Linked DNA regions of Xenopus tropicalis. The protein of the gene in region 2 interacts with the protein of the main gene of each other region in a biochemical or structural test. Links are inferred from orthologs where the notes say so. Each region holds a gene or a part of one and is shown on either strand. Other genes may lie near its edges. The genes, in order: ube2m, smurf1, axin1 and plekho1.

Region 1 (8,001 bases), on a different chromosome or scaffold from region 2:
TAACTGGTTTTATAAATGTATTAACTATGGCAAATATAAGAAAGATTTAGCATATGTTATACAGGATGTGACCATTGCACATCTGGAACAAATGGCACACCTAATCCCAGAACAAAGGGGACAAAAGCCTTCTATTTCAGTGTTGTTCTACCCATTAGTTGCAGAATACATATATATACACATAATATACATTTGTTGACATTTAGTATTCCCCTGAAAGCACTATAAAATGCAATATACATACCTGACCCCTGAAATATCAATCTGCTAAATACGCCAGTTTATCAAAGTCCCCTAAAGAATTATTAAAGGAGCCAAATGGTGTGGAGGCAGAAGGGAAGGGCTGACTGGGGCCCAACAACAGTGGGTGCCCACAGTCTCAGTATATGCCTCCTGTATATTATATGGTGTGCATATTATATGGTGTATGTGGCACTATTGAATACAACGGAGATACTGCATATTTATTATGTTATACAGAAGACATTAAATGCCTTGGACCCAACATAGTTGCCTTAGTTGCTCTTCAGATAAGAGGGTATCCCATCTAAAGACTTATTTACAATGGTTTCTCTAAAGTTGGGAATATATGGCCCTGTTTGCCACAGTAACCTCCATTTTGTCATTGGTGCCATCACTGTGAGTACTGTATTAACTGGTTGCTCTGCAAAGTACAGTGGTGCTCCCAAAACTCAAGGCCCAGTGTTTCCCTAAATGATTAGTAAGCCCATAGGTGCTGCTGATGCTAGAGAATGTAGCAAAGCTCTTTCATGCGGTGCTTATACAGAAACTTATGGCTATGGCCACATGGACTGATTCTCAGCCTGCAGTCCCTATAATCCTAACAGCCTTTCCATGTACCTGCCCCAGAACCACTGTCAGCCTGGGTAAAGGTCATACATCATGGAGCGGATTTTGGCACCAAAATGTGTAATGGCCACATGGGGCAGATTTCTGGCATATAGATAAATGCAGCCTGAACATCTAGCCCCTGTAACCTGTAGTCTAAAACCTCTAATCCAGCCCCAGCTTTAGTGGTAAAAGCTACAACTTACTCAAACCGTTGCAAGAGCAAAACAATGGCACATATACTAACCTCATCAGGGCAGATGACTAATTTGAAATTTAAGAGATCATCGTGGTCTGAGAACTCTATTTCACATGTCTTCGGCAAATTCAGTTCGTTAATATCTGGAACACAGGCACAGAAACGGACATTAGTAACTACGTCACATTTGGCTTTGCTACATACAATGCAGGTTCTAAAATAGAAACAGATTTGATCAAAGGGCAAGGAATGATCTCATCAGTTTTGTCCCCATTTATGAATTACCCTTTTTTATATAGCACTGATTGATTGGGCAGCACTTTCCAGAGACTGTCTCTGAGCAATCAATTGGTCCCAAACAAGTCAATCTTTGGCCACAAGCAAGAGCTGTTCAACATTTACGCATGTACGCTGGGCACCTTCAGCACTGTGTGGAGGCGAGTAGTGGTTTGTGTCTGTTATATTAACTGCATATGGCTCTGTACAGAGAGCTTCATAAAGCAGCTTATAGCAGGAATTTTGAAAAAAAAAAATTAAAATATAAAAATGTTGGGTTCAGATGCTCTCTCCTTTCTTTGTCCTCCCTTTAACCAATTGTTACAAAACAAGGAAAGTCTAAGCTAGCAGTAAGGGCAGTATTTTCTCATTCCACAAATATGTAAATCCCACGCCTCTTTATAATGTAACCATGAAGGCAGGGCTCAGAGCTGCACTATACCGAGGGTGCTCTTAGGCCTCAGCATTACTGCAATTCTCTACTGACAGTATGTACTGGAACCTTCCTCTGCCCCTATATACCCTGTACGCCTAATAGCTAAACACGTATAATAAGAAAAAATGGTACAATTTAAATGAAAAAAACTAGCAGCAACACAAAGCTGAACTTAAAGGGATCCTTCACCCAAAGAGTTTTTTTAATTAATGAAAGAAATTGAATTCTAAGCAACTTTCCATTATAAATTCATTACACACTCTCAGTCATTTTAATTGCGTATGTGAATGTAATTGCTGAAAGCAGTATCTTTTTGGCTGTTAACATTCTCTGCACTGCTGATTCTGACTCCTGAATCAATGGTGATGAAGCCAGCTGACTAACAGAGCTGGTAGAGAACTGACTTCTGCTACATTCTTTCAAGAGTCAGAAGCAGAGGACAAATAGGGAGAAACAATCGCTAGTTTCTATGGCATTAACTAAGCAACCAGCGAGACTGTGTTATGAATGTACATTGGAAAGCTGCTTAGAGTTATAGTTTCTTTTATTATGCAATAAACAGTTTTTTTGGGTGGAGAAAAGTAAAAAAAAGTCAAAGCCCTAAGTTCCAGAAGAAAAAAAATAAATCTTGTAAATTAGGGCAGTGTGTTATGAGGGAAGGGTTGGGAATTATGGAATGCATGGGGCCCATTGCAAGGTAACTCACATACTGTAGGTGCATGAAGTGGCTGGCTATAAGAAGTGCTTATTTACTAACAGCTGGATAAGATCTTAGGGGTGGCACAAAGCTGCAGCTTGCCAATATGCTGTGCCGACCAAACAATGTAAATGATAGATTTCAGAGGTTTCATCTTGAGGTACAAGGGGTTCGGGCAGTGTCAGGTTTGGGCTAATGCAAACATATGCATGCCCTGTTACACATGTAAATCAATACATACACGTTTGCCTTTCCCCATGGGCAGAGGCCACAAAAAGTCACATTTTTGTTTGGATAATAGTTCCCCTATACTGACATAGACACAAGGATCCTCAGAACCAACTCCTTCACCAGAGTGGGGAACAACTGGTCTTGTTAGTTTATGGGATGCCTCCCTACTGAGCACACAGCAATGCATGGCATGGAGGTTATCACCTCTGAAAGGCAGACTGCCCATGGATCAACTATGGATCAGAGCACCCCACTTCTGATCACCACAAATACTGAGGCTGAAAATGCCAATGATTAAGGTGAATCACTGCACACTGTGACAAACAAAAGAGCTGACCCATGGGTGAAGCCCAAACAAAGGGTGACTGGCACAGCCATAGTTACTCGGAGCCCTACCTCCTGCTAGCATTAGGACTCAATAACCCTTAAGCCCTAGGTCTGTGATTAGTCGCCGCGCAACAAATCTCCCTTGTCAGGGGCAACTAATCTCCCCGAAATGCCATCCCACCGGCTAGAATGTAAATTGCCGGTGGGATGGCATACGTGCACCGTGATTTGCCGAAGTCGTGGAAGTTTCCTCTCAAGGCAACTTCCGCGACTTCTGCAAATTTCGGTGCTGTGTATGCCATCCCACAGGAGATTTACATTCTAGCCGGCAGGATGGCATTTTGGGGAGATTAGTCGTTCGGCAACTAATCTCCCCGTGTGTCACAGCCCTTACTGTTCGGCTTGCCACTACTTATAGCACGAATCAAAATGCCATAGCCCTAAACCTGTATGGGGTCAAGAGGAAAAAGACCTTGCATGTCTGCGTTGGTATCATTCCCCCTTCTGTGGAAAAAAGAAAGAAAAGGGATTGATCAATGCACATACACAGGTCCCATAGGTTATGACAGTAAGGTTATGATCCTTACAAAGCCACCCCCCCCTATATCTATATAAGCCCCATGTGGTGGCGCTATCTATTTACCTCTGTTTTTCATAGGTTTGCACCTCCCTAATTGGTAGCATGTCATGAGATGCCAGTCAATTGTCCTCTAAACCCCCATTATTTGTATTAGCTGGATTATTTAGCAAGAAGGAAAGCCAGACTTCCATGTGGCTGTAACACATATACACCATTCCCTTTAATGGTGGCCTTATGCCTTAAAAATGGCTGTTGAAGATCTCTCCTCTTTAATAGCCCATAGAGGGGGCAGGATCAGTCTGCGAGACCATTGCTTTGGGCAGGAGGCACTATTCCTAGGAAACAAGCCAGCAGGGAGGTGCCAGCCTAGGAGAAATATGATTAGATTTACATCATTTGCATTGATCAATCCCATATTTAGTAGTTTTACTTTGATTCACCATGAGGTGTAGCCCCAACCCTCTTGTTTCACGCCTTATAAACAAGTACATGGCCTTGCCCCAGAGCAAACCAGGAAAAGTTCCATTGATGAGGAAAGCCACACAAGGTTGCGTTCTAGCCCTGGATTCTGCGCAATGTTCCCTCTAAACTGTGTGCTCACACAAATGTCGAGGCCAACAAATTGAGCATTTTGTATTTATTATGACCTCAGCACACAGTTCATAAAAATGTGCGCACAAATTGTAAGTGTGCACACAAAAAAAAATTTTTTTGCGCTCAAAGCCAAGAAGTAAAGAGAGGGACCATTGATTCCGTGGCTGACTTTAGCGAGTTTGTTGCAAAGAGAAAAGCAGAGAAAAATCTGTTGCAATTACACCAATAATTAAACTGAATTTGAACCAAACTAGCAGTTAGTATGTACGTGTTCCCCTTTGATATAAATGGAATGACAAAATTGTGGGGCTGAAAGCAGAATAGTGCAGGCATTGTACCAGAGTTCTGCCCTGCTGGACAGAGAGAGAGAGAAAATAAAGACATAAATAAGTGGCCAACACGGGCTTTATACTGAGAAAGCAAAGAACAGAGCGCCCCTTGAGCAGGGGCAGGATACCCCAGGGCTCCCCCTAGCGGCGGGGTGATACAAGGCTCCAGGTTACCTTTCTGAATGCGAAGTTGAGCGGCTGAGGCCTTTTTACTGCTGCCTTTAGTTCCCCCTGCAGATTCCTCCTCCTTCTTCTGCTGCTTGAGGGAGAAGAGTTTGATCATCTTGCTGGATGTCCCCCCTGCGGGCCCGCACCTCCCTCAACCCCCTCCTGCTCTCCCTATGTCCCGCACTGGGGGAAGCTCCCAGCCTCCCTCCCCTCCGTCCCTTTTCTCTCTCTCGCCACACACAGGCCGGGGGGAGACAGGCCGCAGCACTGGGGTCTAATCGTCTCTCGGGGCCCGCACACCTGACGGACAGAGCTACTAGTCGGGAGCTTAGATCCGGGTGAGCAGCTCCTTGGTGCCGGTTCTCACGGCCGCTACCAGCTAAGGCTTCTCGCCTTTATCAGTGCTGCCTCTTCCGTGAGCTGCCCGGCAGGTATCGGAAACACTCAGCTCTGCGGCCGCTCTGCTTCTAGGCAGAAGATGCAGCTACTGCGCAGCTTCGGAAGCGCTTGCGCTGGGGAATCCGGAGCTTTCGGAAGTACTCGGCTAGTTCCGCCAACACTCGGGCTTGGGACATCGGGAGGTTCCGGAAGCAATCGTGGCACCGAAATTGTGAGGGGACTTGGAAACGTTCGGGGAGCAGTTGATTGAGAACGCTTAGAGCTTCCACTTTGGAAACAATACCTAAACGTTCTATCGAGTATTCTGTGGAGACCTTTATACGGCCGCCGTCAAAATCTTATAAGATATATCTTATATCTGCATATTTCCTCACACATACACAGGTTTTAGTTTAGTTGCTAAGTATTGGGAAACAATACAATGTTGGGCCCGCTAGCCCATGCTACACTACATTGCTTCCATTTGTCAGGCCCCCAGATACATGTCTTTAGCAATATAGCTTATTCTGACCGAGGCCATTACAGGAAATGCCTCTAGCTTTTGGTTCCCCAGCCCTTTCAGCTTCAATGTTCCCTATTCTAGCCCTGCCTCAATAGAAACCCTAAGATTAGAAGAAGGTGGTAGCTTTAAGGTCCCCGTACGCCTTCAGATCTGCTCCCTTGGCGATGATGCCAAGCGAGCGGATCTTCTCCCGATATCCCCACCTACGGGGGACCCTGGGGCGAAATGATCGAATTACAATGACGGGTATAGACAAAGTTGGTCCAGGGACCGCATCAACGAGCCGATGCAGTCCCCGATCTGACTAGATTTTTTAACCTGCACGATATCTGTCCGATTTCAGGTCAGATATCGGTCGGCCAGGCCCGTCGGTAGTGCCCATACACGGGCCGATTAGCTGCTGACCTTAATGCCCATGCAGAACAGCGTGAGTCATTTGCTCTTCATGGAATAAAACAGAACCAACATGGCACAAAATATTTGCCTTCCTGGGAAGTGTGACCCTAGATCAGTGTTCCCCAACCAGTGGCTCATAAGCAACATGTCCCTCACCACACCCTTTGATGTAACTCCCAGAGGCCTCAAAGTAGGTAGCCATTTTTGCATTTCTGTCTTGAAGGCAAGTTTTGGAATCACAGAGTTTTACTCCATGCAGAGCTTCCTGCAGGCTAGCAGTCCACATGGGGCTACCAAATAGCCAATCACAGCCCTTATTTGGCATCCCCAAAGAACTTTTTTATGTTAGTGTGGCTCACCAACACTTTTGGTGGGGGGAGCTTAGGAATGTAGAGGCCCAGTACAGCCCTAATTATTGAGCAATTTCAATATATCTTGGTAGAATAGAACTTCTATTGCCTAAATTGCGGTGGTGCCCAGTAACATCTATTTATGCCACTGCCTCAAAGTTCTGTGCCAGCCAACCAGCTGCCCATTCTGCACCTGAGCCCTGTACCCTACATGTTTTATTTCATGTTCATATGCTGTAACTATGACAAAGGGAAACTATTTTGTAACACAATGTGTTACGTATAATATAATGCATGATGTAACAATAAGTCCATACATATTCATATCAGCCCATCCCATTAGTGTCCTCATTAAAATCCATATAGCAAATACCTATACAACATAAGTTGCTGTATTTGAGGTAATGCCTCCTTATGGGCCTACTATCACTAGGATAAGATACACATGAGCTAAATACAGGAAGAAAGACAGCAAATCTGCCCAATACTCTTACCATTAGTTGCTTTAAGTCAGGTTGGGTGCTCAAGGATGACTTGTAGATACTGTTTCAGTTCATCCCTCAGAAATTCAGTTGGACCGAAGTTCAGATTTAAGTTAACTTTTTAGTATGCTGTAGAATAGCAATGTCAATTGGTCTTAATTTTTTTTTTTTCTATAGTTTCTGAATTATTTGCCTTTTTCTTCAGGTTTCAAAAGGGGGTCACTGACTCCAGCAGCCAAAACCTATTGCTCTGTAAGGCTTTTTATGACTTATCTTTTCTATTCAGCCTGTCTCCTATTTATAGCCCAGTTTCTCATTCAAACCACTGTCTGGTTGCTAGAGGACTCTGAACCCCAGCAACCAGATATATGCTGAAATTCTAAACTGGAGAGCTGCTGAACAAAAAGCTAAATAATTAAACAAAGAAAAAAATAAAAATAAGGATGAATGGTCTTAAAATATCAAGCCCTACATCAAAGCAAACAACCCCTTTAAGTCCCAATAGTCTCAGACCATTATTCCTTTAGGCCAATGCTGTCCAACTTCTGCGGTGCTGAGGGCTGGAATTTCTCTCGCGTACATGGTGAAGGGCCGCTAATGGAAGCCAGTTTTGGCCACTCCCTAATTTTAAACCACACCCACTTTATCACAATGGTCGCTGCAGGGATATCAACCATCATTCGTATGTTAAAGAATTATATTATGTCATATTAAGACACACCCTTAAATCCATATGCCGCCGCCTCCCCTGTGGATAGCACAGCAACCCCCAGCAACATAATTACACACCTTAGGGACCATTAAATGGCTATTTCCAACTGCTAACAAACTCCTAGAACAAACCCCTGCCAGGTTCACCTCCCACAGGCAGCTTAGGGTAGGCGGAGTATGGCACACACAGGCAGCACTCTGTCTGTCCTATGCTGCCTGTGTGTGCCATACGCTGCCTGCCCTATGCTGCCTGTGGGTGCCATACCCTCCCTGCCCTATGCTGCCTGTGGGTGCCATACCCTCCCTGCCCTATGCTGCCTATACACAGGCAGCATAGGCCAGGCAGTACATACAATGTCTGAGGTGTGAAGAGGTGAACAATGTGGGTGATTATAGCCTGAGGTGTGAACACTGCAGGGGGGGGGGGGGGTGAACAATGCAGATATTAAAAGGTGTGAAAAACACAGGGGATTAC
Region 2 (7,375 bases):
CTCTACTCCCATTCTTAAAACTGTATTGTTTGAATCCTCCCAACTTTCACTGATAGAAAATCTTCTCTGCCTTTGTTTAAATCTATAATATGGATCTGTCAGAATGCAAGCATAACTTGCGAGATCCCTTTTATAACTTTCAAAGCACTTAACCACACCAAATTGCCAATCGGCATTTCTCCATATGTTCCTGGTCTTCTCTCTTCCCGCTCAAAGCTACATTATTTTTACACCACCCACATTCACAGGCACCTCTCTCTTGCTGCTCATTACTTCTAGAATTCCATATCCCAATTCCAAATACTTCCATGAAAAACTCAAAACCTCTTTGAAAGTAAACTCAAATTCAACCACCTGTGCTGTGGAACACAGTTTTTTATTCAGTCATGGAAGTTATGGGTCAATGCCTCAATCATTGTGTCAATGCCTCAACCATTGTGAATTCCAGCACTTATTCTCCAAAATGCACCTAATGTGACAAATGTCTGAAGGTAGGACTGTGTACATACCACAACAATATTGGAATAAAAACTCAATCAAAAGGCAGCGCCATAAATAAGACCATAAATAAGCAGACTTTATATTACCTCTAGTTCTTTTTGCTCAAATGGCTTCAACAAATGTTGTGGTATTAGCTCATTAAAACCTTTCTGCAGAGCCAAGAACTGAGCCTCTATCCCTCTCATGAACCTCCAATTAACATACAACCTGTAAGAAAATGAAATTAACACAAATAAATACATATAAATTTGACTTGTTTTCAAGATTTTCTTCCCTTTTTAGTAATTAATAGAGCTTTTAGGACTGCAGCTTACACTACATGACTCATAGATGCAAGATTTTAAAAAAACCTGCTGATGTGGACGAACACAACAGACATAAAGTACATGTATACACCCTAGGCAATAAACTAATGCTAGTTGGCCATACCTGGGTTTGCCAGATATGTTGTCCACCCAATCGACATTGGTACAATAAATATGCACAAAACATACATATGATATATTTTATAATGTTAGTAACATACCTCACATACTCTTTCTTATTTTCTTCTGTTACTTGTAAGTTCTTGCCATTTGGTTTCAATTCATGCTGGAGGAGTCGGCCAAATGCATTGTGCTCAACACAGAACGTGTGGTCTAATACTGAAGTAATGTCATTCTCTCTAAAGCAGTAATATAGAAGGAAATCGAAACAGTAATTGTACATTACATTTTTTTTAGCTTAATTAAGGCATACGCTGTTTCCCCAAATGTGTGTTCTTCATAACAGTAACAATGATAAAACAAGGTTGTATAACAAAGGTTTAGAAGATTAATGGTGCTATTGCTAAAAATAATTTAGATGTCACCTGGTTTGACTGGATATTCTTTGTGCTTTACACACATTGTAAATCTATGCAATGATACTTCTCAGATCCCCTTATCTAAGGGGACATCAATATGGATATGGGGCCACTGGGCTTCATGCTGAACAGAAAGTGGATTATTATTGCTGCAGATTTGTGCTTATGTAAAAACATCCCTGACCAATTAAACCAGGCAGAAATAAAAGCAGAGCGAAGTAGACTATAGGGGTTGAAGCTTCATGCTGAAATAGGTAGTGATGAGTGACATTTTTCGCCAGGCATAGATTTGCAATAATTTTTTGATGTGTGCATCATTTATTGCATTCCATAAATTTTGCGCCATTTTGCAAATATTTCGCAAATTTTTGGGGGAAGCAAAATGGGACAGATTCGCTCATCACTATAAATAGGAGGCAGATTATCCTTTCTGCAGATTTGTGCTTTTGTGCTGGATTCTTCAAGTCCAAAACAGAGAGGGAAGGTATGAAATTCTGGGGGTTATTTTTAGAGATTCTTTTTTTTTTTTTTAATGTTTATTTATTCTTTAATGCAGGTAAATCGCATCACCTGCTCTCAGGCAGGAGAGTGGCCGAGGAGGGGGGGATTTCTATACTATAGAGAAATGCTGTAAAACTGGCGGACCCCCTTTTTGTGGCCCCCCCATTTGTCTGGCAGCTGTGACTGTAAATTGCATCAGTACTGAGATTATCTACCCCCCCTCTACATTGTTCACACCTCAGATTCAGGCTGTAAGCCCCTGTAATGTTCACACCTGTAAGCCATTGCATTGTCCACACCTGTAAGCCTCATCCATTATTTACAATCACAAGCCCCACAAGGCAGCATAGGTCAGGCAGAGTATGGCACACACAGGCAGCATAGGGCAGGCAGAGTATGGCACACACAGGCAGCATAACTGTATATCTAAGGTGGGAACAATCAATGGGGCATTGATTGTTCCCACCTCAGATATACAGTTATGCTGCCTGTGTGTGCCATACTCTGCCTGCCCTATGCTGCCTGTGTGCCATACTGCGCCTACCCTATGCCACCTGTGGGAGGTGAACCTGGCAGGGGTTTGTTTAAGGAGTTTATTAGCTTTTGGAAATAGTGGTTAGGGGTCCCTAAGGTGTTTAATTAGGTGCTGGGGTTGCTGTGCTGTCCACAGGGGAGGAGGCAGCATATGAATTTAAGGGTATGTCTTAATATGACTTAATTAACTTTTTTTCACATATGAGTGTTAGGCGATATCCCTGCAGTAAACACCAACCATTTGTCTTCAAAATGTTTGTGTTAATATGGATGTAGTATAAAAAGGGCAGTGGCTAAAACTGACTTCCGTTTTTGGCCCTCCACCATGTTTGCCAGAGAAATTCTGGCCCTCGGTACCACAGGGCACGATTATATTTACATCGCACATAGCATACCTTCCACTACAGCTATAAAATTCAAAAAAAAGTTATGGTGTTACCGTGTATATATTGACATTTTACAACAACAACAACTGAGATGCAGACCAATTACACAAATCACATTTAAGCTTACGCAGTGTGTTTAGGCAATCTGAAGTCTCTGTAAGAACCTGGCATCCATCTGCAGAATTTCAAACCAGTCAGTTGCCCCTACTATGCAAAAAAAAACAAAACCCTGATCTACTAAATAAATTGCTAAGTAATGTCACACTGGGACACATACAGGAAAGACACCAGTGTTGGTGGGATTTTGCACAAAGTATAGTGCTTTCTAGTGTTCTGCTACCAAGGCTGATGCTGCCTCCTCCCACCTCACTTACCTATCTCACACACAGAGCAGGGTAGGGAAGATCATTATGCTTGTTTAGCGAGTGCAACTGTTCTACGTTAAAGGTCAAAATATGGATTTTCCCACAATAAGGCCGGATCACTGCATGTAAAGTGTTTTACATGGGGGGAATAAACCTCTGAATGAAAAGGTAAATTTTGGATTTTTTGTTGGCCAGCAGGAGAGGAAATTTCACATAAGTGACAACACGTACATGTCCTTTGACCCTAAACAGCAAAATCACTGCCAAAATAATAAAAAAAAAAAAATGTTATTTAAATTTACCAATTTTACTGCCAATGTGTAACTTTAGAAAAGGTCTAACTTTACCTACTGTAAGAGCACCCGGATAAAACTCCCAAAATCATGTAATGTACTATTGGCCGTAGGATATCTGCCAGAATATTACTGCATATAGAGTTGTCTGTTGTTCCTCTACTAAGCTCTGTATGTGCAAGTATCATAACTTGTTGTGTTTGTATATAAGCACACAGGTTAGAGCAGTGATACCTAGCTACTGGCCTGTAAACCACATTTCTTGACACCCCTTTAAATGCTGCATGCAGTAACTTCAAAGGTGCTCATTTAACAAATGCTGGCCAAGTCTTGGAAGCCAAAAAAATGTTCTGGTAAACATGGGCTGCTACAGGCAGGTAGTCTATATAGTTCTATGAAAAAGCCAACCCAGTCTTTATTTTGCAGCCTGCACAATATTTTTTTTATGACTAAGTAGCTCTCAAACACTTTTTAAACTTGAATGTGGCTTACAATGCAACTAAAATAGGTTGGGGGAGCTCTGGCTTAAAGGGAACATAAGATCCTTAGAGACCAAAATATCTTAACAAAAATACTTACAAAATCCAAACCAAGCTTTTATGCAGCTCTGGATCCACAGATTCCAAGTCAGACAGCTGAATGGGCTTTCCCAAAAGTTGTTTGTAGAAAGGAACTGTAAACCCCCCATTAATGTAGTGTCCATGAAACACAGCCAATCCCATGATTCGACCAACAAAATGGAAATAAGATAAATGATCCTGTAGAGCAGAGTGGAAACAGAGTAAATTGACTTTGTATCTGAGTTTTGATTTTAGATTAAACTAAATCAGCAGAATTATTAGATGTATCTCAGTCCTCTCTGGCAATTAATACTAGGTAAAGGCAGGTAAGAAAATGGGAAGAATCTACCTTAAACACACATTGTGTCCATTACCTTGAGCCCTGCTGTCCAAAAGAACAAAGCTTGCCAACTAAAGCATTTTGTGAGCTTCGGAGATTTGAAGCGTAACATTTTAGCGAGCACCTCCAATTGTCAGGTGTCCATACAAATGGCCCATGATGTTAGCTGCTCAACTGAACACTTATGTTGTTCTGCAAAATTATGATCTGCAGTTATTTTAATATTGTGTAGGTTAACCTATGGATGGCAAGTACTAATTTCCTAGTTGCCGATGCAGTCCCTTATCCAATTTAAAAAAAAAAAAAAAAAAAAAAATCAAACTTGTCAAATTGACACCTGACCAATTTTCAACCAGATATTCAACTGCAGCTATTCTTAAAAAAATATGGTAGTTTGCACAGCTTCTTTATTGCATCAATGCTTTAGTACTCGCCAGATAGAATTAATATGTTAAAATTTTTACTGTCAAACTGCTTATAATTTTTTTCAGCCATTTTGCTGTGGCCACTAAAAGATCCAATGAGCATCATACTATACATTAATAATTAGTAGCAGCATCTTCTGCATAAAAGATTTTGTTGTTTTTGAAAAACAAGTCAATTATGGCTAGTTTCCCACAAAAAAAAAGTAAATTTCTAAGTTAATTTGTTTGTAGCTCACCGCAGCAAAGTGTCCCAATTTGCCACTACCTGTCAGCTGACCACAATGTCAGGTTTAACACTTACTGGATTAATAGATGAATCAGGATTAATTTGCAGAGTATAAATATTGTCTGTAGAATATTGGAAAAGTCCATAATATGGATTCAGCATTTCATGGCATAGTAAATACAGCCACTCCCTGTTTAAAAGAATCACATCAAGAATGAACAGACAATCTGAGCTGTTCTCTGAAAACACAAAATACATAGCAATAGCTTTTTCTTTTTTTTATGAAACTTTATGAACTTTATGAAATTTAAACTTTTTACTAAAGCATACAAACACCAAATGCCAAACACCAAAAAGCCAAATGTTCTGAAATTTTTTTTTAACTGGTTTTGTGAATTATAAAACATAACTTTACATAATGATAATCGACTTAATTCTAATAAGGTTGGTCCTGAATGTTAACTTCATGATACATATGAAGCCAGTAGCTATTTTTTTTTCTATTTATAACTAATGGATATATAATAAGGTAAGTGAAGGATATAGTATTACAGGGCTCTTCTAAACTGCTATGCAAGAGCATATAATATACTCCCTTGCACATAACAGCATTTTATCATAACCATTTTAATCTCCTTGTCTGCTGACCCTTAATGTCAGCAAAACATCACTGAATATGACAGATACAGGCAAGAAATTAATAGGGACAGTTTCCTATGGTGGATCATGGCCTGTAAATAAATACTACAAGATTAGTATTTAAAAAAATATAACATTCAAAATGTAGAGAGGATATATTTAGGATTAAGTCCTCTTTTCAAACAGATCTCACCCTAAACTGTGAAAGACAAGGGATCTCTTTGCCACTAGTACCTTGCACAGCTTTTGCCTTTTATGTTCCCCACTTCTGCTATAATAATCTAAAAAACAACAAATTTTCTAAAGGAATTCAATTCAATTTAGACTTTAATTCCATAGTTAGTGAAGTGGTATAACAATCTTTCTTGCAGTCATTTTAAGTTGTTAATGTACAACAATATTGCTAAATCATCCAATCATACATAAGCTGATAAAGAGCTTAAGTGCCGAAGGTCCTCCGACACGAAGACAACTTTCGGGTCAGTGTACACAGGAATTCAAGCACCCGTCGCCTTTTCGCCGTGCTGCTATGGAGCAGTTCGTCACTAAAATTCTACACGAAGCATTTAAAAAAGGCAAGGGGGGAAAGGCTAGACCTAATATTAGAGCTGTTTTGTGACTTATACGGTATTTAAATATTTATGTGTTACTGTTCCTTTAATTGCAGCCAAGTTCTGCTTTCAGGTTTCCTTCTTTTTGTTTTTTTAAAGTTTGATGCTATTACAGGAGCACATATAAGTGGATGCTTCAGCCTTACTATTAAGCTTTCAACAACCAGAGTGGTAGGTATTTAAAAATTACAAAGAGGCTGTTCACTGATTACATCTTTATGTGGGGGGTTTAACTTAGCCCGCAAATCTCCCCATGTGCCAATGCCCTTAGCTACCAAAGGACAGGTACTATTTCCTGAGTACATGTTTAAATTAAAATATTTTATTGGTTTCTATGGTTTACTGCAACTCGGCAAATGTGTGCCTTTTATTAATTACATGGGGGCAAGTAATTAAAAAGTACAGATGAAACCAAGACTGTGGAACCCAGTGCACTTTTCCACAAGAGTTATCTAAAAAATATATTTAAAAGTATTTCTTACATTTGTAAAACTGGTGTGTAGGCCGCCATCTCAGTGCATTGTACCTGAGTCTGAACTTTCAGAAGGAGCCAGTGTTACAATATTAAATACAAAAAAAAAAAAATCTGTTTGCGTTTTTGAAAAATGGATTTCAATGCAGGATTCAGCTGGAGAAGCTCTATTAACTGATGCGTTAAAAAAAAAAAAAAAAAATTATATATTTGTATATTTTGTTATATTTGTATTGTTACATATTTGTTGCTAGAGAGGCATCAGATGGGGTTTTTTGCCTTCCTCTGGGTCAACTAGCAGTTAGGCAGGTTATATATAGGCATTATGGTTGAACGTGATGGACGTACGTCTTTTTTCAACCTAACTTACTATATTACTATGTAAAGACCAGCATTAAAATACTAAGAATATGAGACAACTGTCCAGATGGGGGGGAATGTTTGGTTGTGATATTTACAAAAGGGTAAAAGGTATTAAGAGGTATTTCTTGTCTAACATAGCACAAAGTAAAAATGCAGCCCATAATTTGGGATAGTGTATAATAAACATCACTGTATAAGTCATACACAGTAAATATTTTAGGCCCACCATCAGTACATGATAAGTAGGACAATACCTGGCCACTCCACCATAGTCAAGTCCTTCTTCCCCACGAAATTTCACCATCAATCTTTTCT
Region 3 (7,375 bases), about 32 Mb from region 2:
AAACCCAATAGGGCTGTTTTGCCCCCAATAAGGGGTAATTATATCTTAGTTGGGATCAATTACAGGTACTGTTTTATTTCTACAGAGAAAAAGGAAATCAGTTTTAAAATTCTGAATTGTTTGATTAATATGGAGTCTATGGGAGACAAGCTTTCCATAATTCGGAGCTTTCTGGATAAGGGATCCCAAACCTGTATAGTAAAAGACCTTTAAAAATTAAACATGAAACCCAAATTTTTTTTTGTTTTAAATGTATTTAAAAATCTGAGCTGTCAATCATATATTGCCTGCCCCGCCTCTATGCCGTAGGCAATATATGATTGATAGCTCAGATTTTTAATTACAATTACTTTAACTTTCCAGATATCACCTGGATGGTAAAAGCACAAGATTTTGGGGTGATACAAAGTTTGCCTTAATTTAGATTTTTTAGGGTAACAGGTCCCTCTTTAAAGTGCACCCCACCCCATATTAAGCTGCGGTGTCTCACACAAACACAACCCTATTAGGATTTGTAACATTAGCATATAGCGCAGAGAAAATATGGTGTTTTATTTTACTTTATGTAATAAGGCTGCTTAGTAACATAGGCAATGATAAACCAATGAGTAATCCTTGTATTGGCTTCATCAGTGTTGCCACTCAAACAATATTTAAATTCTACTTCTATTTAAAATGCTGCCTGGTTGTCCGGTCCACTGACCCCGGCAACAAGAATAATCCCACAGGTACATTTATATTGTTATTGAATTTTTTTTTTTTTTTTTTTATTGCTTCTTGTTCCAATTTTCAGCTTAACGTTAAGATCCACTTGTTTCATGACCTCGCCAAACAGGCAAATCATCCCCCAGATATGCCGACCTAAGGTGGGACACCATACCTGGGCAGATGAGCTGCCCAATTGGTCTGAAGGGCTTAAATCTGCCTGTGTATGGCCACCTTAAAGGGAACATAGTGTGTGAAAAACAACATTGTGCCAATGAATTGTACTCATCTTAATACAGAAGGAATGTGCTTTAAAAAGTAGTGTTTCCGGCTGATTAATTGAAATTTTCTCCAAAAACCCCATTAGTCCCACCCATCTGTCCCTCTTCCTTCTGCCTCCTTTCCCAGGCTGTGCAGGGGGGACCCAATAGGCTGACCTGATAGGGAACTGAAGCCTGTCTTAAGGTCCCCATACACGGGCCGACTGTAGCTGCTGATATCGGTCCCTTAGACAGACTCGGCAGCTTATCGGCCCGTGTATGGGCATAAATGACAGGCCTGCCCGACCGACGTCTGGCCTGAAATCGGCCAGATATCTATTGGGAAGGTTTAAAAATGTAGTTGGATCTGGGACCGCATCGGCTTGTTGATTCGGACCCCGAAACGAATGCGCCTATTGCGGCGCTCTAATTCGATCATTTGGTCCCAGGGCCAAACAACCGAATTAGCCTAAATTCGACCTCGCCAAGCGAAGGTATCTTAACGTGTATGGCCACCTTTAGCCAGTCATAGCCCTGCAGTCATACAGGCACTTTCCCTCCTACTGTGCTTCTGGCAGGGACAGTTAGGCCACACCCACCCCTCATTTGAAACACAGACAGAGACCTGAGAGGATCTATCGCTCCAATAAAGGGGCCATTTTTACAGACAGTAATAATTTTTTGACCAAAGTGAAACCAGTACCATATATTATTCATAATTGCCTATAAAATAATCTTTTTTAGCTTATCCTACATGTCTCCTTTAATTAGGACCCACACATCTAGATAAAAGCGGAAGCCAAACTGGACCTGGTACATAACTGCAGTTGAAATAAATCATTAACCACAAAGAATATAAAAGCATAAATATAAACATCACACTAAACCTTAATTCTAAGGTGAGCTCTGTGCCTTTACGTCAATGTGCCAAAAAACCTAAGAAACACAGCATCTAAAGCTCTCCAATTGCAAAATGCAGAAAGAAAATTTCATGGCACATAAAGTTCAGGCACTTCTCCACTTTATCATTCACCTTTCTCTGATTTTGGCCCAAAAACTCCCAAATGTTTCTGGAAAGAAATCCACCTGTCACCGTAACAGGCTGCACAGCCATGATCAGCATAAAAAGTAAACCTTCAAGCCTTTATATGGGCACAGGACTCCTTCTATACTTATTTTTTACAACTAAGGCTATATTGCTTATTATTTGCACACATTCATATTTAGAAAAATTGCTGCTATGCTGCTGGTAGCTAGAATAAAATATCTTTCAAACACAAACACAGTTATCATGTGACTAGGAACATGCAGAAAGCAACAATTTCCACAATCCCATGAATGGCCCTTATGTGGCCAGGATTGTGCATTGTGCAACTACACCTTGGTGCCTCCATACAGTTTACAAACATACCTGAATTCTCTGCCGTCACTTAATCTTCTATTAGGCCCCACACAATGGGACGAACTGTCTAAAACAAGCTTCTGGGTAAATAAGCTGGAGGGAACAGAATCCCTCTCCCTTTCGAGTTCCCCTCCTTGGTCACACCTCCATTCCTCATCTTCATTTAGAGTAGGTAAATATCCAGAAGGCCCTTTCCCCGTCCCAGATGCCGAGCTCTGATCACTGTAATTTTTAGGACTTTCCCCACCAATAGTTGTATATTCTAAATATGTATCTGATTTAAGGAACACAGGATATGTATTGTCCTCCATCATGGACTGGATTTCCGTTTGGGCCTGGTCAAACATAGCTGGGTCTATCTGTTGCCTCAAAACGCAATCTTTTATGAAGCTTTTGGTCGCTGGTTTGATCTGCCGTGACACGATGCCGTTGCTGTCCAGAATGTATTTTTTGTAAATGGCTTTTGCCAGTTTTAGTCTCTTCTCCACTTTTGAGTCGTTGGGTTCCAGCTTCCGAAAGCCGCTGCATGCAAACCAGAAGTCCAGCAGGTCCGCACAGTTCTCTTGTTGCAAAAAAGTCCTGAACAAGTTAATCCCATCCTGATCGTCCAAAAGAGAGTGCAACGACTCAGCCCATTTTAGGTACGGAGGTGTCGGGGAAGCACTACCTTCAGGCTCATAGCCCAAGTCTAGGTCTGGTCTCCTAGGGGTGGCTGTTGAGGTTTCGTTTTTGATCCCATCGTTTTTCAGAGAGTAGTAACTGTGGCTGAAGGGTCTTTGATCTGTTGTAATCAGTTCTCCTTCCTCGCCAGGAACTGGTGGCCTAGGTGCATCTTCAGTAAAGCTTCCCCCTAGGTCCAAAGGGAAACCTTTCCCTTTGACACTCATTTTGATGGCGTTTGTATACACAGTGATGAATAAAACACTGATTCAGAATATGGACATCGTAAATAGAAGGTCCCAGGTAAAAGTATGCCTCCTGCCAAGAAAAAAAAACAAAGAAACATTTAGAAGTCAGTAGGAAAAAGATAATTAAGTTCCGCTTACTCATTATACTGTTGCATTTCATTAAAGGGGAACTCCACCCAAAACAGTATTTACACCTAATAAAAACAAATATAATTCTAAGCAACTTTCCTATTACATTCATGACACATATTTAGTGGCTTTAGAGTTATCTGCAGGGTGAAGACACACAGAGCTACTAGTAGCAGCTACTTGTCCCTGCTACTAAAATAGACAATGCTGATCATTTACTGATAACTGTCTCTACATGTGTCTTAATCTCCTCGCAATGCCAACCTACCGGCATGAATGTAAATCGGCGGTGGGATGGCATACACGTCACTTAGTTTTCCTGAAGTCGCCCAAAGTTTTCTTGAGAGGCAACTTCGGGAAAATGAATCATCACGTATGCCATCCCATTGGCAATTTACGTTCTTGCCAGTGGGATGGTATTGCGGGGAGATTAGTCGCCCGCAGTAACGAAGATCTGTCACGGCGCAACTAATCTCCCCATTTGCCACTGCCCTTAGAAGAGGCAATTCTCAGTTGTCTATTGGCAGGGTATTTTATGTTGTTTAGTAGCTGTGAAAAAGTAGCAAATACTAGTAGCCCGTGTGTCTTCACCCTTAGTGTAACTTTTGTTAATAACAGAATCTGTGGGGCAGTTCTGAGTCTTTGCACTGCTGGTTCTGTCTCCTAAAAATGCAGCAGAAGCCAGCTCACTAACAAGACCCTGAGGATAACCGACATATGTTACATTGTTTCAAGAGTCAGAACCAGAAAGCAAAAAGCGATAAACAGAATGCCATTTCCATTTACCTAGTCAAGAGCCCAACATGAATGAATTATGGAAGTGCGTATTTGAAGTGTGTGGCTGGCAAGTGATCCTCTGGGATGCCACTGCTGCCAAGGTTAAGCTGCAAATAGTCTGGGGCCAGCAATGAAAGCGACAATTGCCAAACAGAAATGGACTTATCTTACACGACTATCACAGACCGGCAGTTGGGTTTATTGCAGTTGAGTAACACAATAGAAGCTTTAGTGAAAACCTGTGACAATGCCAGTCCTCGTTGGGCAACTGCAGCAGTGACACTAATTTTTGAATGCAAAAACAACTTGCAGCCACTGTTCATAATATAGTCACACACCCAGTTGGGACTGAACGTGTAGTGAGCTTGAAGACCAGAGGAAGCGTGCCAGCTAGAAAGCAGCTGTAGCAATAGCACATAATAGCAAGCATAGCGGGCATCGTTAACTGCCCAGCCACAATTACCCATAGCCAGCAAGGCACAATACAGCTGGATATTGCAGCAGCCATCATTGACTGCCCAGATACAATTACCCATAGCCAGCAAGGCACAATACAGCTGGATATTGCAGCGGCCATCATTGACTGCCCAGCCACAATTACCCATAGCCAGCAAGGCACAATACAGCTGGATATTGCAGCAGCCATCATTGACTGCCCAGATACAATTACCCATAGCCAGCAAGGCACAATACAGCTGGATATTGCAGCGGCCATCATTGACTGCCCAGCCACAATTACCCATAGCCAGCAAGGCACAATACAGCTGGATATTGCAGAGGCCATCATTGACTGCCCAGCCACAATTACCCATAGCCAGCAAGGCACAATACAGCTGGATATTGCAGCGGCCATCACTAACTGCCCAGCCACTATTACCCATAGCCAGCAAGGCACAATACAGCTGGATATTGCAGCGGCCATCACTAACTGCCCAGCCACAATTACCCATAGCCAGCAAGGCACAATACAGCTGGATACTGCAGAGGACAAGGGTTGCTCGCAAGGTGTGTTCGTGAGTGTGACGCCAAATGTTCTTGTGTATCAGACTTAGAGGCTCCCTGGGATTCCCCCCCTGCTCGAGGCATACCCAGATAGGCTGTATCTGAATGAATGAACCTGCTATTGCCAGGGCCATTAAAGCTATTGGTACTTTGAACCGTGCCGCAGAGATAAACAGCATAAAGCAATAACCAGGGACACTAAAATACTATATTACCCATCCCAAGACATGCAACTGCTCACGTTCTACTCCTCAGCACCACTAGGCGACATCACCTTCTGCCCGGCAATCCCTTTTACTGTTTCCAGTGGGGGCTATAATAGACTAACTCGCCACACACACAGTGTAAAAATCCTCTTTCTAGCCAGCTACATGTGTCTGCATTCCTTTTCTCTGGTTCCGACTCCTGAAACAAGTTAGTTCTGCTCTCGATAGTTTCTGCTATACTGATTCAGAAGTCAGAGCCAGCAGTGCAGAGAATACAAACACCCAGGCAGCGTTTTTCCATACCAATTACATTTACACATAACTTCAAAACCAATGACATTTATGAATGTATATACTGCTTACAGTTACATGTCAGTTACAACGAAAATATATTTTAAATATCTATCTCTCCTTGATAACTATAAGACTTCTGTATAATGTGTCAAAAATACAAATATTATATAACAAAGAAGTTGCTGGTCCTGAGAGTTCTAATTCCAATTTGATATATACTATACATATATATTTTCTTTTTTACACACATCACATTACACATATATTCACTTTTTTTTTTTTTATAAATAGACATTTCCCCCCCAACAATGAGGATAGATTTCTTTGGTCAGACCAAAAGCAGATATAATAAGTCAGGAGTGGGCACACAGCCTTGCAGGATTATTTGCAAATGATCAGTATATATCAGTAATATACCAAGCACTGGGTGCCGATGGATCAGGTAGGCAGGTAGGAACACAAGAAACAGGGTCCCCCACACCCCCAAGGCGTCTGGCTACGGCATTCAGATTCTGACATGCACAGAATGCGGAGAACTTCTGCCCCCAATATATATTGGGCACCATGGAAAGTGCTAATGCATGAACTGACAATACCCCACACTCCCACGGTACCTTAGCATTTCTTACATAAAACTGCAGTTGTAACGAAAACTATAAAGCCAATCATACCCCCAACCCACACATAAACTGGCTTAGTCCCTACAGCAGCAATGAGCAACCTGTGGCCCTGCGGGTATTGCCACAGCAGCCCCCCTGTTTCCTTAAGGGTGAGAAGCCCAAGGTAGGTGATGGAACACAGTGAGCAATGGTCAATAAACACCTTGCTGAACTACAATTCCCACCCATGGTGAAACTGCCGGACAACCCACAGAATACAATTCCCACCATGATCGATTTAATGGTCAAGACACTCAGAGCTACTAGTAGCAGCAACTAAAATAGACAATGCTGATAATTTACTGATAATTGTCTCTATGTGTGTTTTAGAAGACAATTCTCAGTATTGTCTATGGCAGTGGCAGCTACCTAAGGGTGAAGACACATGGAGCTACTTAGTAGCAGCTTCTTGTCATGGCTGCAAAACACCAGAAAACACCCTGACAATACTAAGAATTGCCTCTGCTAAAACACACGCAGAGACAATTATCAGTAAATGATCAGCATTGTTTATTTTTGTAGCCATGACAAGTAGCTGCTACTAGTAGCTCCGTGTGTCTTCACCCTAATACTGCACTGCTGCTGATTCTCCAGCGTTTGTAGCCACAGTGCATTTGCTAGTGAAACAACTCCCATCACCCCGCTATGCAGAAGTCAGAGCCAGCAGTGCAGAGAATACAAACATCCAGGCAGCGTTTTTCCATACCAATTACATTTACACATAACTTCAAAACCACTGTCTATGGCAGTGGCAGCTACTAGTAGTTCTGTGTCTTCACCCTAAGGGTGAAGACACATGGAGCTACTTAGTAGCAGCTTCTTGTCATGGCTGCAAAACACCAGAAAATACCCTGACAATACTGAGAATTGCCTCTGTTAAAACACACGTAGAGACAATTATCAGTAAATGATCAGCATTGTCTATTTTTGTAGCCGTGACAAGTAGCTGCTACTAGTAGCTCCGTGTGTCTTTACCCTTAGGGTGAAGACACACTGAGCTACTAGTAGCAGCTACTTTTTCATGGCTACTAAA
Region 4 (7,847 bases), on a different chromosome or scaffold from region 2:
AGCCCAATGCTCCCAGGGATGCACACATCAAGGCGTTACATAATATAGCATCTGTTTATATGTGTATTGTAATATATATCTAGAAAGCCTGCATGGGAATGAAGTGTAAATAGCACCCCTAGTGGTAGTTTGTGCTGTAGTTCTACCGAACCAAAGGGGGAAAATGGAATATTCCACTTATATTTAACCCTTTAAGTGCCAGCCGAATTCGTCATTTCAGTTCCCCCCAGTGCCAGACGTTTTTTAAGCATTTTGTACTCATTCACTTTAAAAATGTTTTTTGGTAGGAAAACCTCCATGAAACTAGGGAAATTATATATTGTTTTTTTCGTCACTAATTGGGCTTCGACATACATACCAAATTTTATAATTTTTCTGGAGATATGATGTGTATTTTGGGTGAAATATGTAAAAAAAAAATAAAATTATGAAAAATTTCTGTATATTTTGAGTTTTTTTTCCATAGAAAAGTTAATTTTACACACTTTTTTTTGTTGTTTGTAAAAGCCCTGATACTCCCAAGTCCAACGATACCAAATATGTGGTGGTACCCCACAGTTCCTGTCCAGAAGTAACCCCCAAACTAAAGCAATACTTAGTACAATATCACACCAGAACAAAGCGGAAAAGCGCTTGTAACAGTTGATGCAGCATAACTTATATGTAAATCTAGAATATCCCCTCATGTTTGGTATCTTTAGAAACTACAGACCTTCAGGTTTCCAGGTGCAATGTAGTTTTCACTCAAAAGCCAAATACCTTTTGTCAGTGCATTGTGAAATTTGGAACTTTTTTTGACATTTTTTTTTTTTTCTAAAACGTAAACTTGGACGCATGATCAAATGTGGATTTGACAAAAAAAATGTCATAAAAATTTTCTAACAAAGGCAAATTTGAAAGACAAACTTCTCCTGAATAAAATGATGCCCCATATGTATGGGTGCACATAAAGACATGGGCATCAAACACTCCAAAGCAGGGGCAATGCACAAGGGCAATTACAGCTAAAAATGTGGGTGCTGTGCTCCATGTGCACTACCTGCAGTTTTTCAGTGTTAACCCCCCTACTTGTGAAATAACCCCCACAAACTATATATGTCTGAAAAGTGCACACCTTCAGCTATTCACAGACGCCACTCTCCTCTTTCTACATGGAAAATTGTGGCCGCAGTCCCTTGCAGAAGTCAGCACTTTGGTCAGAAATCAAGAAAAAAACAGATACAAACCTAGATTTCTCCCCAAAATCTCCATGGCAACTACCAAAAACTTACTAAACATCAATCTGCAAGTTCCCCTGAATAAAACGATACCCCATATGTATGGGTGCACATAAAGACGTGGCCACCAAATGCCCCAAAACAGGGGCAATGCATAAGGGCAATTTCAGTTGAAATTTTGGGGGCTGCGCTCTATGTGCACTTCCTGCAGTTTTTCAGTGTTAACCCCCCCTACCTGTAAAATAACCCCCACAAACTATATATTTCTGAAAAGTGCACACCTTCAGCTATTCAGAGACACCACTCTCCTCTTTCTACATGGAAAATTGTGGCCGCAGTCCCTTGCAGAAGTCAGCGCTTTGGTCAGAAATCAAGAAAAAAACAGATACAAACCTAGATTTCTCCCCAAAATCTCCATGGCAACTACTAAAAACTTACTAAACATCAATCTGCAAGTTCCCCTGAATAAAACGATACCCCATATGTATGGGAGCACATAAAGACGTGGCCACCAAATGCCCCAAAACAGGGGCAATGCATAAGGGCAATTTCAGTTGAAATTTTGGGGGCTGCACTCTATGTGCACTTCCTGCAGTTTTTCAGTGTTAACCCCCCCTACCTGTAAAATAACCCCCACAAACTATATATTTCTGAAAAGTGCACACCTTCAGCTATTCAGAAACACCACTCTCCTCTTTCTACATGGAAAATTGTGGCCGCAGTCCCTTGCAGAAGTCAGCGCTTTGGTCAGAAATCAAGAAAAAAACAGATACAAACCTAGATTTCTCCCCAAAATCTCCATGGCAACTACTAAAAACTTACTAAACATCAATCTGCAAGTTCCCCTGAATAAAACGATACCCCATATGTATGGGTGCACATAAAGACGTGGCCACCAAATGCCCCAAAACAGGGGCAATGCATAAGGGCAATTTCAGTTGAAATTTTGGGGGCTGCACTCTATGTGCACTTCCTGCAGTTTTTCAGTGTTAACCCCCCCTACCTGTAAAATAACCCCCACAAACTATATATTTCTGAAAAGTGCACACCTTCAGCTATTCAGAAACACCACTCTCCTCTTTCTACATGGAAAATTGTGGCCGCAGTCCCTTGCAGAAGTCAGCGCTTTGGTCAGAAATCAAGAAAAAAACAGATACAAACCTAGATTTCTCCCCAAAATCTCCATGGCAACTACTAAAAACTTACTAAACATCAATCTGCAAGTTCCCCTGAATAAAACGATACCCCATATGTATGGGTGCACATAAAGACGTGGCCACCAAATGCCCCAAAACAGGGGCAATGCATAAGGGCAATTTCAGTTGAAATTTTGGGGGCTGCGCTCTATGTGCACTTCCTGCAGTTTTTCAGTGTTAACCCCCCCTACCTGTAAAATAACCCCCACAAACTATATATTTCTGAAAAGTGCACACCTTCAGCTATTCAGAGACACCACTCTCCTCTTTCTACATGGAAAATTGTGGCCGCAGTCCCTTGCAGAAGTCAGCACTTTGGTCAGAAATCAAGAAAAAAACAGATACAAACCTAGATTTCTCCCCAAAATCTCCATGGCAACTACTAAAAACTTACTAAACATCAATCTGCAAGTTCCCCTGAATAAAACGATACCCCATATGTATGGGTGCACATAAAGACGTGGCCACCAAATGCCCCAAAACAGGGGCAATGCATAAGGGCAATTTCAGTTGAAATTTTGGGGGCTGCGCTCTATGTGCACTTCCTGCAGTTTTTCAGTGTTAACCCCCCCTACCTGTAAAATAACCCCCACAAACTATATATTTCTGAAAAGTGCACACCTTCAGCTATTCAGAGACGCCACTCTCCTCTTTCTACATGGAAAATTGTGGCCGCAGTCCCTTGCAGAAGTCAGCACTTTGGTCAGAAATCAAGAAAAAAACAGATACAAACCTAGATTTCTCCCCAAAATCTCCATGGCAACTACTAAAAACTTACTAAACATCAATCTGCAAGTTCCCCTGAATAAAACGATACCCCATATGTATGGGTGCACATAAAGACGTGGCCACCAAATGCCCCAAAACAGGGGCAATGCATAAGGGCAATTTCAGTTGAAATTTTGGGGGCTGCGCTCTATGTGCACTTCCTGCAGTTTTTCAGTGTTAACCCCCCCTACCTGTAAAATAACCCCCACAAACTATATATTTCTGAAAAGTGCACACCTTCAGCTATTCAGAAACACCACTCTCCTCTTTCTACATGGAAAATTGTGGCCACAGTCCCTTGCAGAAGTCAGCGCTTTGGTCAGAAATCAAGAAAAAAACAGATACAAACCTAGATTTCTCCCCAAAATCTCCATGGCAACTACCAAAAACTTACTAAACATCAATCTGCAAGTTCCCCTGAATAAAACGATACCCCATATGTATGGGTGCACATAAAGACGTGGCCACCAAATGCCCCAAAACAGGGGCAATGCATAAGGGCAATTTCAGTTGAAATTTTGGGGGCTGCACTCTATGTGCACTTCCTGCAGTTTTTCAGTGTTAACCCCCCCTACCTGTAAAATAACCCCCACAAACTATATATTTCTGAAAAGTGCACACCTTCAGCTATTCAGAAACACCACTCTCCTCTTTCTACATGGAAAATTGTGGCCGCAGTCCCTTGCAGAAGTCAGCGCTTTGGTCAGAAATCAAGAAAAAAACAGATACAAACCTAGATTTCTCCCCAAAATCTCCATGGCAACTACCAAAAACTTACTAAACATCAATCTGCAAGTTCCCCTGAATAAAACGATACCCCATATGTATGGGTGCACATAAAGACGTGGCCACCAAATGCCCCAAAACAGGGGCAATGCATAAGGGCAATTTCAGTTGAAATTTTGGGGGCTGCACTCTATGTGCACTTCCTGCAGTTTTTCAGTGTTAACCCCCCTACCTGTAAAATAACCCCCACAAACTATATATTTCTGAAAAGTGCACACCTTCAGCTATTCAGAAACACCACTCTCCTCTTTCTACATGGAAAATTGTGGCCGCAGTCCCTTGCAGAAGTCAGCGCTTTGGTCAGAAATCAAGAAAAAAACAGATACAAACCTAGATTTCTCCCCAAAATCTCCATGGCAACTACCAAAAACTTACTAAACATCAATCTGCAAGTTCCCCTGAATAAAACGATACCCCATATGTATGGGTGCACATAAAGACGTGGCCACCAAATGCCCCAAAACAGGGGCAATGCATTACAATGGGGCTGCAATTTATGTGCACATCTCAAAGTTTTTCAGACAAAATTGCCCCTTACCTGTGAAAAAACCCATATAAACTATACATTGATTAAAAATAGACAACTTCAGCTATTCAGAGACACCACTCTCCTCTTTCTACATGGAAAATTGTGGCCGTGGTCCCTTGCAGAAGTCAGCGCTTTGGTCAGAAATCAAGGAAAAACCAGATACAAACCTAGATTTCTCCCCAAAATCTCCATGGCAACTACCAAAAACTTACTAAACATCAATCTGCAAGTTCCCCTGAATAAAACGATATGCCATATGTATGGGTGCACATAAAGATGCAGCCACCAAATGCCCCAAAACAGGGGCAATGCATAATAATGGGGCTGCAATTTATGTGCACATCTCAAAGTTTTTCAGACAAAATTGCCCCTTACCTGTGAAAAAACCCATATAAACTATACATTGAAATAGACAACTTCAGCTATTTAGAAACACCATTCTTGGTTTTCTACAGGCAAAATTGTGGATGCAGTTCCCTATACAAGCTGGACTTTAGTCTGAAAAAAAATATAAAGTTAGATTTCTCCCCAAAATCTCAATGGCAACTATCAAAAAACTTGCTCAGTATCAATTAGCAAGTTACCCTGAATAAAATTACACCCCATATGTCTGGTTGCACATAAGTACATGGCCGCCAAACCTGAAAATGCATAATATTGGGGCTGCACTCTATGCACCCCTTGCAGTTTTTTAACTTTAACCCCCCCCCCCCAAATAAACCCCTAAATTGTACTTTACTCACCTATTTCAGTTTAGCGGAGCATCTTTGATTTGAGTTCCATCTTTCCTGTGGTGTTATGATACCAGTTTTTTGCTTCTTCCTACACTACTTTAGAAATGACAAAATCTGCACCACATTTAGAAGGATATTTGCCAAAAAAATCAATAGTAATTTGGCCCATAAATGATGCAAGTGTCCTTAGAAGTTGCACTAAAGGTGCCAACAATAAAGCTTGGGGCATTAGCATCAGAGATAAAATTATGTGCACCATTACGTGCCGTGCAGCAGTCACCAGTGGCACACCAGTATTACGCAAAGTTTTTATATTTAGAGAGCCACTGCAACTTGTGTAACCTAACCAGAACATACAGTAGATATTCAATTTGTACTACAAGCACAAAAAACCGTAATGTATCTGTCATCCTGTGCTCAAGAACCTTTGCAAAAAACTTAAGGCCTACACTTACAGTAGTTAAATGCTGCCCAGAAATACAAAGTATATAATACAAAACTATGCACAGATAACTGCGCTGACAGGCATGCTTTTGAGGTGCCAGTAAAAGGACTTGTGGCATCAGCTTTAGAGATAAAAACATCTCATTGATTCATCACACACCACAAGTTTTATCATGCGCCCTGTCAGTCACCCAGCACCTCAGTTCGCTATACCAACAGCACAATACAAGTCCTACCCCATAACCAAAGAAACACTGCAACTAGCCTGAATAACCATAGCTCAAACACAAAAATCTGAATGCCCAAGAACAAGTCTAAACAACCACAAGCTACAAGCACACACTGTTTTTCTGACAACCTGTGCAAAAAACAAAATCACATACCATAAAACCCTACTTTACTAAAAAAAAAAAAAACTTTTGCCAATAATATGACACACCTTACCAAACTTTTCATCACATATATCTATAACCTAGTTATAAGTAAAGTACGGACCTGCCAGAATAGATAAACTCAATAAATAAAAAACAGCGTCACTTTGCCAGCACAGCTAAGTTTGGAGGCCTGCAACCTTGTGCATAAAAACCTAGAACATGCCAAGTCCACTATTCTGATATGCTAAATCCTTATTCCACCAACAAACCCAGAGAACCATAACCTACCTATAAAAACACAAAATTCAAGTCCTCTCATAGTGTACCACAGTATGGTACACTTCAAAACATGGGTGGAAACACAAAGCAGGCTTGCTAGGACACTTGGGACAATAATACCGGACATCTCGCCTAACACCCTTGGAACGGCAAACCTTACATTTTCTCTGGGCATATCTTTTATTAGGTGTTGGTGGAATTTGTGCTATAAAATGCTTACCCACCATTCGGGCAACATTGTCATTACCTGGCATGTCAGGAACCTCCTCTACATCACCAAACAACAAGGCAGGGAGCAACTGCAGCAAATAATTATAATAAGACAATCTGGGGCCTGGTACTGCCGCCTTGTAAACGACATAAGAATTATAAAGGGCCATTTGGATCATATAAATTGCTGCTTTTTTGTACCAGGCCCTGGTTTTTCGGGTGGCATTATAATAATGTTGTATTTGGTCGGATTTATCAACACCACCCATATGCTTACTATATTCTTTACTACACAGGGGCTTTGTTTTTGAGGGCCTACCGCCACTTCTGTGTTGGACAATCATGGTCTCATCGTGGATAGTAGTAAGCATAAGAACAACTTTGGTGTCTGAATATTTTATGGCCAAGAGCTCATTGCTTCTTAGAGCATGTACTTCTCCACGCTTCAGTTTCTTATCCAGCAATTCCCTGGGCAGTCCTTTGCGGTTACGGTGGACTGTGCCGCAGGCTGGGGTGTCCAAAGAATTTAGGGCTCTAAATAAAGGGATGCCTGTGTAAAAGTTATCCACGTATAAGTGGTAACCTCGGCCCAGCAGTGGAGTTATGAGCTCCCAAACAATTTTACCACTGGTAGTCAAGTCAGTGGGACAACCGGGGGGGTCCAAATTAGTGTCCTTTCCCTCATACAGCATGAAATAACTAGTGTAGCCCGTGCTGCTTTCACAGAGTTTGTAAAATTTAATCCCATAGCGAGAACGCTTACTAGGGATATATTGGCGAAATTTTAGGCGCCCTTTGAAGAGCAAAAGGGACTCATCTACACAGACATTTTGGGAGGGGGTGTAAACCTCTGCGAAGCGCTGAGACAGGCTATCTATAAGGGGCCTCAATTTATAAAGCCTGTCATAACCGGGCTCATTAGGGGCAACAGCCGTTGTGTTGTCGTTAAAGTGAAGAAACCGCAATAAAATTTGATAACGGTTTCTTGCCATAACGGCTGAAAAAAGAGGGATGGAAAGGACTGTATTGGTATCCCAGTAGGAAGCTAAAGAATTACGTTCTACGAGTCCCATTGCCAATGTAAGAGCCAGGAATCTTTTTATTTCGTTTATATTTGTGGGATACCATGCCTGGGCTCTTGAAAAACCCGGTAAAGGGTTGCTGGCAAGATACTGCTCAGCATACAAATTTGTGTAACGGACCATGTCCTGTAGGATGGCCTCTGTAATATAGAGATTAAAAAAATCTATAATTTCAAAATTAGTGGTGTCCACACTGAGGCCAGGGACTGCAGTGAAAGGGGGAATTTC

What was found.
Region 1: the proteins of smurf1 (region 2) and ube2m form a complex in vitro, tested with the Homo sapiens proteins (2 studies listed by BioGRID). The link is inferred for Xenopus tropicalis from reciprocal best matches to the Homo sapiens genes SMURF1 and UBE2M.
Region 3: of the proteins of smurf1 (region 2) and axin1, one has a biochemical effect on the other in vitro, tested with the Homo sapiens proteins (2 studies listed by BioGRID, with this or other methods). The link is inferred for Xenopus tropicalis from reciprocal best matches to the Homo sapiens genes SMURF1 and AXIN1.
Region 4: the proteins of smurf1 (region 2) and plekho1 form a complex in vitro, tested with the Homo sapiens proteins (4 studies listed by BioGRID and IntAct). The link is inferred for Xenopus tropicalis from reciprocal best matches to the Homo sapiens genes SMURF1 and PLEKHO1.

Annotation. Positions count from the first base shown.
Region 1 is NC_030683.2:103,007,985-103,015,985, reverse strand, and holds the start of ube2m (NEDD8-conjugating enzyme Ubc12), read right to left. Parts: upstream 4,947-8,001; 5' UTR 4,802-4,946; coding exon 4,693-4,801; intron 1,192-4,692; coding exon 1,097-1,191; intron 1-1,096.
Region 2 is NC_030685.2:47,057,101-47,064,475, forward strand, and holds part of smurf1 (E3 ubiquitin-protein ligase SMURF1), read right to left. Parts: coding exon 7,315-7,375; intron 5,166-7,314; coding exon 5,051-5,165; intron 4,183-5,050; coding exon 4,004-4,182; intron 1,166-4,003; coding exon 1,028-1,165; intron 709-1,027; coding exon 588-708; intron 1-587. UniProt on the Homo sapiens protein: E3 ubiquitin-protein ligase that acts as a negative regulator of BMP signaling pathway. Mediates ubiquitination and degradation of SMAD1 and SMAD5, 2 receptor-regulated SMADs specific for the BMP pathway.
Region 3 is NC_030685.2:15,096,367-15,103,741, forward strand, and holds part of axin1 (axin-1), read right to left. Parts: intron 3,346-7,375; 5' UTR 3,255-3,345; coding exon 2,377-3,254; intron 1-2,376. UniProt on the Homo sapiens protein: Component of the beta-catenin destruction complex required for regulating CTNNB1 levels through phosphorylation and ubiquitination, and modulating Wnt-signaling.
Region 4 is NC_030684.2:129,082,168-129,090,014, reverse strand, and holds the start of plekho1 (pleckstrin homology domain-containing family O member 1), read right to left. Parts: upstream 5,262-7,847; 5' UTR 5,240-5,261; intron 1-5,239. UniProt on the Homo sapiens protein: Plays a role in the regulation of the actin cytoskeleton through its interactions with actin capping protein (CP).